2 linked regions of the Lepisosteus oculatus genome follow. The protein of the gene in region 2 interacts with the protein of the main gene of each other region in a biochemical or structural test. Links are inferred from orthologs where the notes say so. Each region holds a gene or a part of one and is shown on either strand. Other genes may lie near its edges.

The links.
Region 1: of the proteins of bcl2-associated agonist of cell death-like (region 2) and pak1, one has a biochemical effect on the other in vitro, tested with the Homo sapiens proteins (3 studies listed by BioGRID). The link is inferred for Lepisosteus oculatus from reciprocal best matches to the Homo sapiens genes BAD and PAK1.

Annotation. Positions count from the first base shown.
Region 1 is NC_090700.1:9,943,501-9,951,004, reverse strand, and holds the start of pak1 (serine/threonine-protein kinase PAK 1), read right to left. Parts: upstream 3,046-7,504; 5' UTR 2,656-3,045; coding exon 2,644-2,655; intron 1-2,643. UniProt on the Homo sapiens protein: Protein kinase involved in intracellular signaling pathways downstream of integrins and receptor-type kinases that plays an important role in cytoskeleton dynamics, in cell adhesion, migration, proliferation, apoptosis, mitosis, and in vesicle-mediated transport processes.
Region 2 is NC_090713.1:21,769,131-21,776,491, forward strand, and holds the start of bcl2-associated agonist of cell death-like, read right to left. Parts: upstream 3,096-7,361; 5' UTR 2,964-3,095; intron 1,198-2,963; 5' UTR 1,190-1,197; coding exon 1,030-1,189; intron 1-1,029. UniProt on the Homo sapiens protein: Promotes cell death. Successfully competes for the binding to Bcl-X(L), Bcl-2 and Bcl-W, thereby affecting the level of heterodimerization of these proteins with BAX. Can reverse the death repressor activity of Bcl-X(L), but not that of Bcl-2.

The DNA of each region.
Region 1 (7,504 bases), on a different chromosome or scaffold from region 2:
GTTTCATAGGATTAAAAGGACATTCCCACTGGAAAGTTAGCATCTGCAAGCATCTGCCTGAGTGGCAATAGTTAAAACTTCAGACTATTCTTGTATTACATTACCTTGCAATGCTATCCACACAGCTGGTACCACAGAGGAGTGCCGTTAGTCACTTCGCTAAAGCATTTACTGCAAGTTGTGATTTAGCCTGAGTCACTTCGTCTAGAAAGGCAAAAATCTACATGATAAAGCTTTGGAAGAGTACTGGCTTTGGTTGTTTTCCCCAGAGGGCAAAAAAATTAAATGTGTACAGTCAGGGGAAGTGCTTCTGTCATCTTGCTTCAACCACTTATGTCATCCCCTCTCTTCTCCACTGATGAGTAATGTATCAAAAAGGTCCATCTTTAAAAAGAATACAGCAGACTATATTCTATAGCAGTAGCAGTGAAAGAATAAGGGGGCAGTGTGGTGGCTCTGTGGCTAAGGATCTGCGCCTGTGGCTGGAAGGGTGCCAGTTTGAATCCCTCGGCTGGCAGAGGAATCCTACTCCATTGGGCCCCTGAGCAAGGCCCTTAACCCCAACTACTCCAGGGGTGCCGTATAAATCTGACCTCAAGCTTCTCTCTCCTCGTCTGTGTGTCTCATGGAGAGCAAGCTGGGATATGCGAAAAGACAAATTCCTAATACAAGAAATTGTTTATGGCCAATAAAGTGATCTTATAAGATATTTATCTAGAATGAATAAGTGACAACCCACATTTCTCTTATAAGTGCCTAAGTTATTTTTAAACAAAACCTGAACTGAAACCCCTTAACTTATACTGTTAACTGTTACTGTAAATCACTTAAGATCGTTTCTCCGTTTGTTCATTGTTACAGCTCCTCACACATCAGAAACGTCTAGCAGCAAGGCTTTTATTGCACTACCATATAAACCCAAGCGAGGCCTGAAAGTATAATATAAACATGTCCTAACAGTAGGACAGAAATTACAAGAAAAATTAGGGGCTTTTTCCTTATATGAACTCCTTGCAACCGGCTTATGAAACGTGTATGTGGGTACATATGAAACCATATTTCCAGAAACCATGACAGCTCGTTCCTTAAGCTGCCGATTCAGCGCTGACAGAATGTGCTCAGGGCGTCGAGAGATCTCGCCTGGCACCTCGAGCGACACAGGCTAAAAAAAGACAGAGCTATCCTCGGTTGCGTACTGTTAGGCTGTGAAGACTCCTCCAGTCACACCGACTCCTAAACCAGACAGAAACAGCACAGAGAGCAGTGAGAGTTTGAGGAGCTTCAGTTCCCATGGTTTAACCACTTCCCAGCTGGACTAAACAACTGCGATCGCCCACAAGTCTGAATGCCAGTCACACAACAGGAAAGCGAGGAAACGAGTTCCTTAAACTGAGCCAACAGCGGCGACCCCCTGATGACAGAGCTGGGGGTTAACCACATCCCTGCTGGATGAAATATCTGCATCTCACCAACGTGATGCAGCGCGATCGGAAAACCAGACAGAAATAAGCCGAAGAAGACGAGCTACACACATTCCACCTTCATCCCCAACTGTGTGTTGTTCTTCACCTGGAGGCGAAGGAAGAGCCATCTCACAAAGAAGGAGAGGTAGAGCAAACAAAATAAACATCCATCAAACCATAATCACAGTACAGAACAACTACTGTATTTGAGGTAAATCTGTATTTTAGGTTTCAACCAGTTGAATACTATTGCTGAGCACAGCGTGCTTAAATATCCCCAAAACATCTGCCTTCATCATCCCCAAACATCAAAAGGTCTCAGTTACCTCAGTCAAACAAGACACACTTGCCAAAGGCTTCTGAACTCCCTTACTGAGAGTCGCTGAACCAGTAAGAGCAAGCTGCAGCATTGTTCAGGTTAAATAACACTGCCTACCACCAACCACGGCTGGGACATTTTTACCTGCATTAAATCAATACACCATCAATTAATCAATCCTCATCTCGTGGCAGTAAGCATATGACTGCGCTGAAAGCCTTGACATTTTAAGAAATGTTTTAGGACAACTATGAAGGAATACAAATTCTGCCAGCTGTTCAATTAATCACTGTAAATGACTGTCACTATAAATAATAATGGGTAGATTATTAACAGCCCATCTCATTAAGATGTTTACTCCACATACTAAAAAAAACAATTACAGAATCGTAAGGACAGTCTCAGAAAACTCCTAGTGATAGACAATAATAGCCAATACCATATATAAAAACACCAAATACTGACAAGTTCTGACAACTGGGATTGATACAGACTGAAATATAAATCTAGGAAAGAAAGCAGCAATATTGTGTCCACTAGGCTTGCAGGTGTACACAATTATTACACATAATAATAATACTGGACAAAGAACAAAGCTCCATTTCTCATTTCAGGATGGTGCTGTGCTGCAGGGGTAGATACTCAGCTACTTTTTGTAACATTTCTACAGTCCAAGGGCCAGTCAACTCATTAAGTGCAAGCTGGAAGCTTAAAAGACACTCTAAAGAACAGAAGACATGCGGAAAACATCTTTCCTCCATTCATCTAACTTACAGTTTGTTCAATAAAACTGTTTGTTCTTTAAACGTCAATAAAGAGGGCTTTGCCCCACAGAGTCAGCAAAAAAAAAACACAACTTACCATTTTATGCATGCTAATGAAGCCCCCTCTGGCGGAAAAAATGCAACTTCAAATGTATATTTTAGCATATATTAGGCTGAAACGACCTGCACTGTATTGAAATGTGCCATCCTACATCTTCAAGCAGATCCCCAAAGACAGAACACTACAGCGTTTATTTTGTCTGCAGTGTGCAGTTTGTTACAAACACCAAGGAAAGAAGTATGCACGAACACAAAAACCACCTTATTAGCATTTTAGAAACACTATATCTTTGGGACGTCAGTGTGAAGGTCATTTTACAGGTAAAGCATCTGAGTCAGGCACAAGTCGCATTCAGCCACAAACGTCAATGAACTTACTGTACCAGGAAACCCTGGATAAAAAAAAAACCAATGACTAAAACCCAGAGGATACCTATAAAGAAATTTTAGGAATAGACTATGAGCAATACTTATCAACACGGATCTCATATAAAATTCCTGTTAGGCCTAGTGTCTTCAGGTATTTAGAGAGTGGATTCCTCTAAAGTAAGCTATGAACTGTAAAATACAGTACCTTAAAAAAAACCCTGGGTCTAAAACAATAATTTAATCAATTGTTTATTTGACTACTTAGCACAGAACAAAAACTAGAAGATTCTGAGCTTCCAAGAGTTGAGCTCATTAGCCCTGCGCTACACCATCCCCTAGAATACATTTCTGAAAACATAACTCATACTATAATTCATTAAAAGGAAAAGAACTCAAAATAAACCAGAAATTAACCCAAATCAAAAACTGTCAAAACGGCAATAAAGTGGCTTGAGACACTCAGGGTTAAACTTGACGGAATTAAACTTGGTCCTGAGGTCCAGACAAAAACCTAAAGAGACAAAAGTATCACTGGCTGATGTCAATGTTTAAACACAAGCTACCATGTCCAGCGCTTCCAAGAACACAGCCTTCAACCATTCACTGGTGGCAAATGGGATTTCAAATACTAAACGACAGAAAAGACAAATCCTTAGATCCTCGAACTCCTGAATACCCCACACGGTAGATGGGTCAAATGGCCTCCTCTCATTTGTAACAGTTGGTAGGTTCTCCAAAAAACAAAAAAAACAGGTCACAACAAACTCATCCCCCGTGACAGCTCTGCTGCTGCTCAACACGCAGGCAAGCACAGTGTGGCTGTATCTTCCGGAGAAGGAAAGCTTGCCCGATCGCAGACCTGCTGCGCGTTAATTCCGCATCTCCTCACCTGACAGGCGATTTGCTGAAATTCACCCATTCATCAATTAACCATTACCCCAGGCCCAGGCCTGCGGAGAATTAAAGCTGGGGTGCAGTCTGTGTTCTTTTGCTGCAGGAGGAGCTCGGGGCGCATTCATTCAAACCCTCGAGGTGCCGGCCCACGCGTCCCAACGGGAGCCACACACACCGGGCCTGGGGAACGGCAGATGGCGCTGGGGGGGAGGGAGGCAAGGACAATTTGCATTTAAATGGTTCCAGCCCCCCAAAAAAAGCTTTGTGGCGCACACCATTCACCTGCTGTTTCAAATCCACAGAGACGAGAGGGTGGGGGGACTCACTTCCATATGGAAGCTGCAGAACGGCCCTCAAAAGACAGAGCGCTCTCAGCCACCCAGGCTTCGCGCCGAAGCTGAAAAAGGACAAATTCGCTTTGACTGCACCCTCGACAACTTGCCCTGGAACGGGGGCAAACACCAGAACAAAACTAAAACGCACGCACTAAGTTGCTATTAATTCACCGATACTTTCGTCACAGACAGCCTAGAGCGCTGAGAATTGTTAAGAAAAGATAAATACGTTCTATGAGGAGGCTTTCAGAATAAACTATATAACGTGATAATCATTTATATTGCTCGTGCACTTTTGGATTCAACACAGAATGGCGCTAAATACATCATCAAGCAATGTAGATTTAATGATCATCCAGACTGATGAGTCGGCTTCTTCATGGACACAACAATATGCTGATGGCACCACATACAGCGGGTGTAATTCATTTTCAAGCCTGACAGCACAGTTTGGCTGTAAAAGAGTCTACTCGGACTGTATCTGGGAAGTAAGATAAAAGGCTCACTGTAGGAATGCTTCTCCATCTACTTGCACTGTCCCCTGCTCCTGGTAATAGATCATGATATATACACTCTGACAGAGAGCATTACACAGAGGAAGAATAACACTTCATCTATTCAGCACTGAAATCAGTCTACACCCAGCCTTTAACAGTCCCAACACACTCCATGGAAAACTTTAACCCTGTCCAAGCAGAAATTTATCTAGAACTTCTGCTATGTACTGTAGTACTCCACACAAACCATGCTTGCTTTGACTTTCTCAAATTCATACCTAAGAATGACTGGGGCTCACAATGTAATCTTGACTCATTTCCTAAAGCAAGCAAATGAAAGATCTGGGCTGACAGGCAGAAATGACTGGCTCGTCAGTCTGTTTAATTCCAAGAACCCAAGAAATTCACGTCCATGAGCAGTTCAACAGTTGCAGTTTATACAGTACTGCACTCACATAATTACAGAGAGAAGACCTTTTTTTTCTATCGGTTATACACCTGAATGATATTATAAAATTCCCATTTTTTTCAAACAGTCAAATGACCCTTTGCATGAATCTGAAGCATGCTGAATGTTAAATTGATTGCGGTCTCCACTGTGACATCGCATGTTGAAATTCAACAGTTCGGGAGAAGGGGACAAAGGGTGTTTTGGAATGGCCTTTCATTAAGGTTGTGATTTTCTATGCCATTTTAACCCCTCATCTTCCCCAGACTCCCAAGATGTGTCCACGGTATATACATTTGTAATTCTACAACTTCAAGACAAGAAAGACAGATCTGCTTTCAGCCTGATCTAGTGAACACTGCTTTCTGACAGAGCATTATCTACTGGACGCAAAGCCAAAAGTTAGCCAGAATTTCAAAATGTCTTTCCCCCTGTGTCATACCCCAGCTTGGGGGTTCCCCCTTATTTCATAGTCTTAAGAGGGGGGCTTTGGCCAGGTTAGATCATTTTCACACTTTCAACACAATATAGGCAATAGTCATATAAATTAGGTCCCCTGTTACAAGAAACATTACTCTGGAAGTGACAGTTGAGAAGAGCCACACAGCTACAGCATGCTGAAACAGAAAACGGACAGGTAATTGTGACCAAATGATTAGCATCACACTGCAGATGAGCTGCATTCAGCACCCCAGCACAGTAACATCAGCAGTACATTTTCATTCAACACCTTACTTAAAAAGGGAAGCACTTCTAGTGATTTAAAAGGTTTATCACATGACCACAAACTTGGACCATTTTGTTTGGCAACACAGAAATCCTCACACAGTACTGCGTGTCCCCCCCCCCCCGTCTTCGAATAAAGGAAAAAAAAAAACATTAAAATCCCAACATTTCGGGTGCCAAGCGTTAAAACACTGACTCAGCAGTTCAGTTTTGTTGCCATGAGAGAGATTCTGCATATTTAATGGCTTGGTTTTTTTTTTTGCTTGTTTTGTCGTTTCGGATTCATGTCCTTCATTAGACTGGAAACCGCACACGCACCCCCCCCTCCACGCCCGCCCCCCACATCCTCGCCAGCTCATCCCTCAATAAATGACAGCGTGACCGTCTGTCCTCACCAAAATACCCGCTCGCCTTCTTCTTAATAACAGGTTACCCAATTTAATTTGAAACGAAAACAACCATGGCTAACAAAAACAGCTGCGCGTGTGCATCGATCAGAAGTTAACTCCAGGATAGTGTTACCCTACACAGTGATGAGGCTGCGCCGAGGAGAGCCCAGAATCGATAATGTTTGCTCCTTCCCTTGGGCCTCTTTAACAGTCCAGCACAATACCTGCTACCACACGAGGTCGATTCCTGAAGAGCAAGCTCAGGCCTGGGACTGTGGTCCTGAAACTGCTTACAAAATATAGCAACCAACAAGAAAACGTCAGATTTGTATTACCTGGAAAGATTTTTTTGTTTTACATTATGTATGTGCTTATGTGGCAAGTCAGTTCTGATCATGAATCTACCGTTACTGAGGAGAGAAATCACAGTGGAGGGCCTTTCGTGGTTGTATCTTGTAGCATAACCGTCCTAGGTTTAAACATATGTACGTGGAGGTACACAAAGTACTTTTCTTAACCTAACGCATCTCAGATTTCCTGGTTTCAGAAGTCACATTCTCACACACGGTTCCTTGCTACAGTCTGTTGAAAGCAAATCAAGCACACAATTATTCTTGGACACTGACGTGTTGGAGATTGCAAGCTTGAATTTTCACACTTTAGGAAAGGCTGTCGACGGGCCAATTCAAAATTTATTGTCAATACCCTTTTTTTTTTTAAAAAAAGCTTCTTTCTGTTCCTTTACTGCCATACACACTTTTCAATAATCAGAAAAAAATCAGCAATACATGAAAACAGTTAAAGAAGAAGAGGCCAACGCCAATTGCTTCATTAATATTTTTTCTCTTAACCAAGACAGACAACATAAGACAGAGTCTCCATTATTTCAGGTAACTGATCCTTGTTTAAACTTTTGACAGTGGAAAATTACACTATAGCCCTTGGCCTTCAGACAGATTAATCTGATATGCAAGATGGTGCCATGGGGCTTCTTTTTTTACCAATACAAATGTATTTCACTGCACAGTCTCTCATCACATCTTCCAATGTGGACTTGCATATAATGGAACTGCTTAGGGTACAGCGCGGAAATTTAAAGGATCTGGATTCATTTGGCGTTCTCCTCATTTAACTTGGCAAGAACGTCTCAGTAATCATGTATAATTTGCATATATAGCTGCATAACTATATAGCATTTGCGTTCCTTTCCCCGTTAGTATAGTCTAAAGTTAAGAGAACA
Region 2 (7,361 bases):
TCTGAATCGCTGGGGGGGGAACCCCTCTCCTGAATCGCCTGTTCCTAAAGGGAACCCCTGGGAGATTTAACCGCTGAAGGTAAACGAGTGATTTGTGCAATTCAAGGGACGCTGGAGTCTGGGGCCTGGAAGGTGTTAAAGGGGAGCTGAGGTCCCCATTTCAAACAAAAAAAAAATCAAATTTCGAATTGTGCACAAAATCGGGAACTTTGCGAAAGTACTGCGAGTCAGCATGTTGTTGCAGATTCGCATCAGGTTCCCACAAATTGTGACGTGAAGCGGCCCTTCCTGCTCACTAGTCACTGTGATGACTGATGTACAGAGCTGTGAACCAGCCATTCCTGCTCACTAGTCACTGTGATGACTAATGTACAGAGCTGTGAACCAGCCCTTCCTGCTCACTAGTCACTGTGATGACTAATGTACAGAGCTGTGAACCAGCCCTTCCTGCTCACTAGTCACTGTGGTGACCAATGGACTGAGATGTGAGCCTGCCCTTTCTGCTTACTAGTCCCTGTGATGACTAATGTACTGTGATGTAGGAGTAAGTACAGGTTGTACAGCAGACTTTTCACCAGTAGAAATGCTCCAGCGTGATCTGATGGCAGAGTTAACAAGGGCAGAATTTCTACTGGATGAGAAGAGCTGGACTCACAAGCCTGCTTGTACACAGTGTCACAGGGCTGGAAGTATCGCTGCCTCGTTCTGAATCCCAGAACATGGCGCTGCGCAGACCTGGAAATGTCCCGTGTTTTGTGATGTCATTTGGAAGTTACCGTGTGTGCGCGTTTTACTGTCATCGCGGTCTGAAACGCACTCAATGATGCCGATTCTTTCTAGCCGCGAAATACAAAAATAGCGCTGCAGTTCCCCTTGAGGATTTTCATTCCCAGCGCTGTCCACCTTGTCCCACTGAAGAGTCACATCACCGCGAGAGCGGTACTGTCACTGGCGCGCCCCGGTGACCCCGGAATTTGGGGAGCACTGCTCTCACGCAGCCAGCCGGCGGGGGGGTCGTCCGCAACTCACCGGGAGGCCGGATCCCCGGGCTGCTGTGGGCGTGGCCCAGCGCGGGCCCGAGCCCCGCCTCCTGGCGGGGCCCTCTCCCCGCCGCGGTCTCCGATTGGGCGGGCTCGGCGACGTCATCCGAGAGGCCCGAATCGTCCGAGAGGCTGAACACGGGCGTCATGGCGACATCTGCAGAGGCGAGAGAGGGCACGCAGGTGAGTGCGGGGGGCTCTTCGGCCTTTCCGTTTCTACAGTGCACCACAGGAGCGTAAAAACACGGCCATTTTACGTCATTCAATTAAAGTGGACCCTGGGATCATATTTGAATGGTGTTTTAAGTCAGTTCCCCGACTATAGTCACAGGTGTTGATGTGCACTATAGTCACTGATACACAGGTCTTGTTTTGCACTATAGTTACTGATACACAGGTCTTGTTTTGCACTATTGTTACTGATACACAGGTCTTGTTTTGCACTATAGTCACTGATACACAGGTCTTGTTTTGCACTATAGTCACTGATACACAGGTCTTGTTTTGCACTATAGTCACTGATACACAGGTCTTGTTTTGCACTATAGTCACTGATACACAGGTCTTGTTTTGCACTATAGTCACTGATACACAGGTCTTGTTTTGCACTATAGTCACTGATACACAGGTCTTGTTTTGCACTATAGTCACTGATACACAGGTCTTGATGTGCACTATAGTCACTGATACACACACAGGTATTAATGTGCATTATAGTCACCGATACACACACAGGTATTAATGTGCATTATAGTCACCGATACACACACACAGGTATCGATGTGCACTATAGTCACTGACACACACACAGGTGTTGATGTGCACTATAGTCACCGATACACTCACAGGTATTGATGTGCACTATAGTTACTGATACACAGATCTTGTTTTGCACTATAGTTACTGATACACAGGTCTTGTTTTGCACTATAGTTACTGATACACAGGTCTTGATGTGCACTATAGTCACCAATACACACACAGGTGTTGATGTGCACTATAGTCACTGACACACACACTGGTCTTGATGTGCACTATAGTCACTGACACACACACTGGTCTTGATGTGCACTATAGTCACTGATACACACACAGCTATTAATGTGCACTATAGTCCTATAATCACCGATACACACACACATCTTGATGTGCACTATAGTCACCGATACACATACAGGTGTTGATGTGCACTATAGTCACTGACACACACACTGGTCTTGATGTGCACAATAGTCACTGATACACACACAGCTATTAATGTGCACTATAGTCCTATAATCACCGATACACACACACATCTTGATGTGCACTATAGTCACCGATACACACACATCTTGATGTGCACTATAGTCACCGATACACACACATCTTGATGTGCACTATAGTCACCGATACACACACACAGGTGTTGATGTGCACTATAGTCACCGACACACACACGCACGGTTACCGACAGTCAGGCACTGCCACGCACACGGTGTCACGCTGTACAACCGCACAGTGAGAACGGTGACATACGGGGCTCAGACCCACACGCTCGTGCCCTGGACGTTCGGCCCGCCGCCTCGAGACTTCCGGGTAGAAAGGAAGTTTTCCCGGAGAGGAGCTGGGAAAGACGGGCGCCCCGGAGCGAGCAGAGCCCAGCCCGGTCGCTGCAGGGTCTCGCCCTCAGACCCCAGCCACCCCCCTGGGGTGTGATGGGGGGGAGTTTGTACCCCCAGAAGGCGCCCGCTTCGGTTCTCTTTGGCTTTGCTACCTAACAGCTTCCCGGTCTGGAAAGCAACCTTCTGGCTGGGAACCTGGAGACACGCAGCTGAACTTTCGTTTGCTTTTTCAAAAAAAGCACTAAAAAAAAGCCTGCAATCCTCATCATGGGCGCCTGCACTCCCGAATTCAGTCACGACGCAGAACTGTTCTCCTTACCCGGACCGGCTGCGGCTGCTTGCTGGGCGATCGTTGTTTGGGCTCTCCGGCGTCAACAGAAGTAGGTCGGGTCCGGCTGCTCCCCAGCCCTTCCGCGAAGGCGCAGGTTTCGCTTCGCCCAGCCAATCCGCTCGCCCGCCCCCGGCCCCCGCCAATCGCCGCGCCGCGCCGCCCTGACGTCACTGTTGCGGGTCGAGGCCGGGGCCGCGTGCCTTGTTTACCAGCGCCGAGGGGCCGTAGTGGCGCGTGGCGCCGCGCACCCCGAAATCCAGCCCGGCCCCCCGGCCTTTGCACGAGCAACACCCGGTGCTCGGATATTTGACACACAAGGTCTGCAGCCCGAGCTGCGCCCTTCCTGACGATTTTCTGCTCCTAGGTGTTGTTGCGGACCAAATATTGCATCACTTGGTGCGCGTCAATCGCAGTTTCCCACCCGCTGGTGGATCTAGAAAACCGGTGGCTCTGCAGAGATTGCTCTCGGAGGGCTTTAGGACAGTGTCCAGCCTGTACTTCGCTCCCAGCCCTCGTATTGTCCTGTTTCCAAATATCTTGTCATGAAAACCTGTCATCGCAGCGTATTGGGTTGAGCTCTGTTTTGATTTGACTCTCGTCCTATATACTGTATGATGTATGCTGTATGATAGATAGATACGTGATTGATCCCGGGAGGGAACAGCAGCTTAACGCAGACCTCACAGCCACAGTGTAACGAATGATACAATAATAATAACACAATACAGTCAGTACAGTGAGAAGTGCACCAAGGAGAGTTACTCACAGTCCAGAATACACAAGGAACAAACCAGAACAGAACAGTACACATAAAAATCGTATTGTAGAATATGACTATAAATATAGATGTAAATATAGATAAAAATATCAATGTATTACACGGGTTCCTGGCATATATTGCACAAAAAACGGTTGTAACGGGAAAGAAAAAAGAACAGATGTATCAGTTTGCTGCTCAGTCCAGAAACAGGTCACTGTCGATGTTGCCTCTGCCCAGACACACAGTGGAGGCGTTGTACAGTCTGATGGCAGAAGGCAACAATGACCTCCGGTAGCGCCCCCTGTCGCACCGCGGATGGATCAGTCTCTTGCTGAACGTGCTCTAATTAGGGTGTTGTAATCAGGGCGGTGCAGTGGTGAGCGCTGGGGCCCTGGGTTCAATTCTGCTGTCTGGGTGGAGTCTGCATGTTCTCCCCGCGTTCACATGGCTCCAGGTGCTCTGGTCTCCTCCCACAGTCCACAGACATGCTGGGGGGGGTGGATTGGCTGCTGGGAAAACTGGCCCTGGTGTGAGTGTGTGTGTGTCCTGTAATGGACTGGTGTCCTGTCCGGGGTGTACCCTGCCTTGTGCCTGTTGCTTGCTGGGATAGGGTCCGGCTCTCCTGTGTTCAGAAAGCGAATAGTGTTGTAATTCTGCACAGTGTGCACAGGCTTCATGAGTGTTTATACCTGGAAATTTATTCTCATGTGGAAATGTTTTCTAACAAACCCCACAGCAGCTGGGCAGCCTTTGTGGTTCCTGAACACAGACATCCAGGGCCTCTGTCAGATCAGCTCAGACATTCCCTCAGAACAGTGCGACTCTGTTTTCACCATGGGGTACAACTACAGGACCAGTTAGAGCAGGGCTGTCCAGTCCTGGTCCAGGAGGGGTCAGTGTGTCTGCAACAGGGCTGTCCAGTCCTGGTCCTGGAGGGGTCAGTGTGTCTGCAGCAGGGGTGTCCAGTCCTGGTCCAGGAGGGGTCAGTGTGTCTAGAGCAGGGCTGTCCAGTCCTGGTCCAGGAGGGGTCAGTGTGTCTAGAGCAGGGCTGTCCAGTTCTAGTCCTGGAGGGGTCAGTGTGTCTGTAGCAGGGGTGTCCAGCCCCGGTCCTGGAGGGTCAGTGGGTCTAGAGCAGGGCTGTCCAGAGTCCAGTCCTGGGGGGTCAGCGTGTCCAGAGCAGGGCTGTCCACTGTCCAGTCCTGGGAACAGGAGGGGTCAGTGTGTCTGCAGCAGGGGTGTCCAGTCCTGGTCCAGGAGGGGTCAGTGTGTCTGCAGCAGGGCTGTCCAGTCCTAGTCCTGGAGGGTCAGTGTGTCTAGATCAGGGCTGTCCAGTCCTAGTCCTGGAGGGTCAGTGTGTCTAGAGCAGGGCTGTCCAGTCCTGGTCCAGGAGGGGTCAGTGTGTCTGCAGCAGGGCTGTCCAGTCCTAGTCCTGGAGGGTCAGTGTGTCTAGATCAGGGCTGTCCAGTCCTAGTCCTGGAGGGTCAGTGTGTCTAGAGCAGGGCTGTCCAGTCCTGGTCCAGGAGGGGGTCAGTGTGTCTGCAGCAGGGGTGTCCAGCCCCGGTCCTGGAAGGTCAGTGGGTCTAGAGCAGGGCTGTCCAGAGTCTAGTCCTGGAGGGTCAGCGTGTCCAGAGCAGGGCTGTCCAGCGTCCAGTCCTGGGAACAGGATTTGCTTGTTTATGCGAAGCTGATGGCCTCCTCTTGTACAGAGACTTAGTGCTCTATATTTAATGTTTTTCTTTTTAATTGAATTTCCCCTCATGACCACAAGATGTCGCTGTCAGATGGGGGAATCTCTCTTTCTCCCGGATTCAGATACTCAGCAGATATCCCAGCGCTGGCCTGCGATACCAAATCACAGCTCGGAGGAATAGCTGCCCTCCTCTCTTTAATGAGCGCACTGGCCCAGTTAGAGCATTTATTTCCATTAGAAGTTCTTAAGTAGTCAATACATTAAAGAGACGTTCAATCACATAAATGCACGTTTGTTTTTAAAGTCGGAGGGGTGCACGTTTTAAATCTTTCATTTGATATATGTGCTTTATGGACTCTTGGCGCTTGCTCAAGAGATCAGTCAAGTGCCTGACACTTTAATCACTGCTCCGACAGGCGCACAGTCCCTCACCAACACAACCTGTTCTGGAAAACACAGGGCTCTACAGCTGTACGGTAGGGTTCCTGTATGTTAGGGGCTCCAGGTCCAGTGCGATCCCAACCAGGTTTAACAACATGCAGGGTTCCTGTCTGGCAGAGTTCCAGCTCCAGTTTGATCCACTCCGGGTTTTACCAGCTGCAGGGGGCTCCTGTACGTAAAAGAGGCTCCAGCTCCAGTCCACTCCAGGCCAGGTTTTATCAGCTCCAGGGTTTTCTGTATAACAGGGGCCCTGATCCAGCTGGCTCTATATGTCATCATTAAGTCATCAGTTTTCCAAAACTTGCATCAGTCTCTTCCTGCTCGGAGAGGCCGGCGATTGGTCAAATTAAGTCGTTTCACCCCCTGGCCTCCACGACCGGCGTTCTCTCAATTGAACAATTGACTTTGATGAGCAGCTCGATGAAGCCCAGGTTTCCCCCAGCCCTGGACAGTGGTGACCTGTGGGGCCGACTGCAGCCGGGCCCTGTGGGACCAGGGCCAGAGAGCTCCACAACAGAGGTGCTGCCTCCGTCCGGCCGGGTCTGTTCGGGTCAGCACCAGAACCCCGAACCCCCCCCCCCACAGACTCTTGCGGAGGTGCGTCTCCTGTTTTTTAGTCCAAAATACACCCACCCCTGTGTCCATCCAGCTTCGAAGCCTTCCCTCCAGCCGCCAGCCCGATTCCCATTGCGGAGCGGTCGGATCCGCTCCGGGTCGTGGCGGTGGCCCGTGTGTGTGAGTGTTTCCTCCGGGTCCTCCAGGTGCTCCGGTTTCCTCCCACAGTCCAGAGACATGCTTGGGAGGTGAATGGGCTTCTGGGAAAACTGGCCCCGGTGTGTGTGTGCCCCGTGATGGACGGGCGTCCTGCCCAGGGTGAGTGAGTGTGTCAGCGTGTGTCCTGTGATGGACTGGCGTCCCGTCCAGGGTGTACCCTGCCTTGTGCCCGCTGCTTGCTGGGATAGACTCCAGCTCCCCGGTTCATGGCTTCAATGAAGATAAGTTAGCAGCCATATCACCCTGCAGCTCACAACTGGCAACCCACTGGAGCTCAGCAGGTGTGAGCTTGGTCAGTACCTGGAGGGGAGACTCCTGGGAAAGCTGAGGCTGCTGCTGGAAGAGGTGTGAGTGGGGCCAGCAGGGGGCGCTCACCCTGCGGTCTGTGTGGGTCCTAATGCCCAGTATAGTGACGGGGACACTAGACTGTAAACAGGCGCCGTCCTTCGGATGAGATGTAAAACCGAGGTCCTGACTTTCTGTGGTCATTAACAATCCCAGGGTGCTTCTCGAAAAGAGTAGGGGTGTTACCCCAGTGTCCTGGCCAAATTTCCCATTGGCCCTAACCAATCATGGCCTCCTAATAACCCCCCTCTCTGAACTGGCTCCATCACTCTGCTCTCCTCCCCACTGAGAGCTGGGGTGTGGGGAGCGTTCTGGCGCACTATGGCTGCCGTCGCATCATCCAGGTGGGGCTGCACACTGGTGGTGGTGGAGGGGA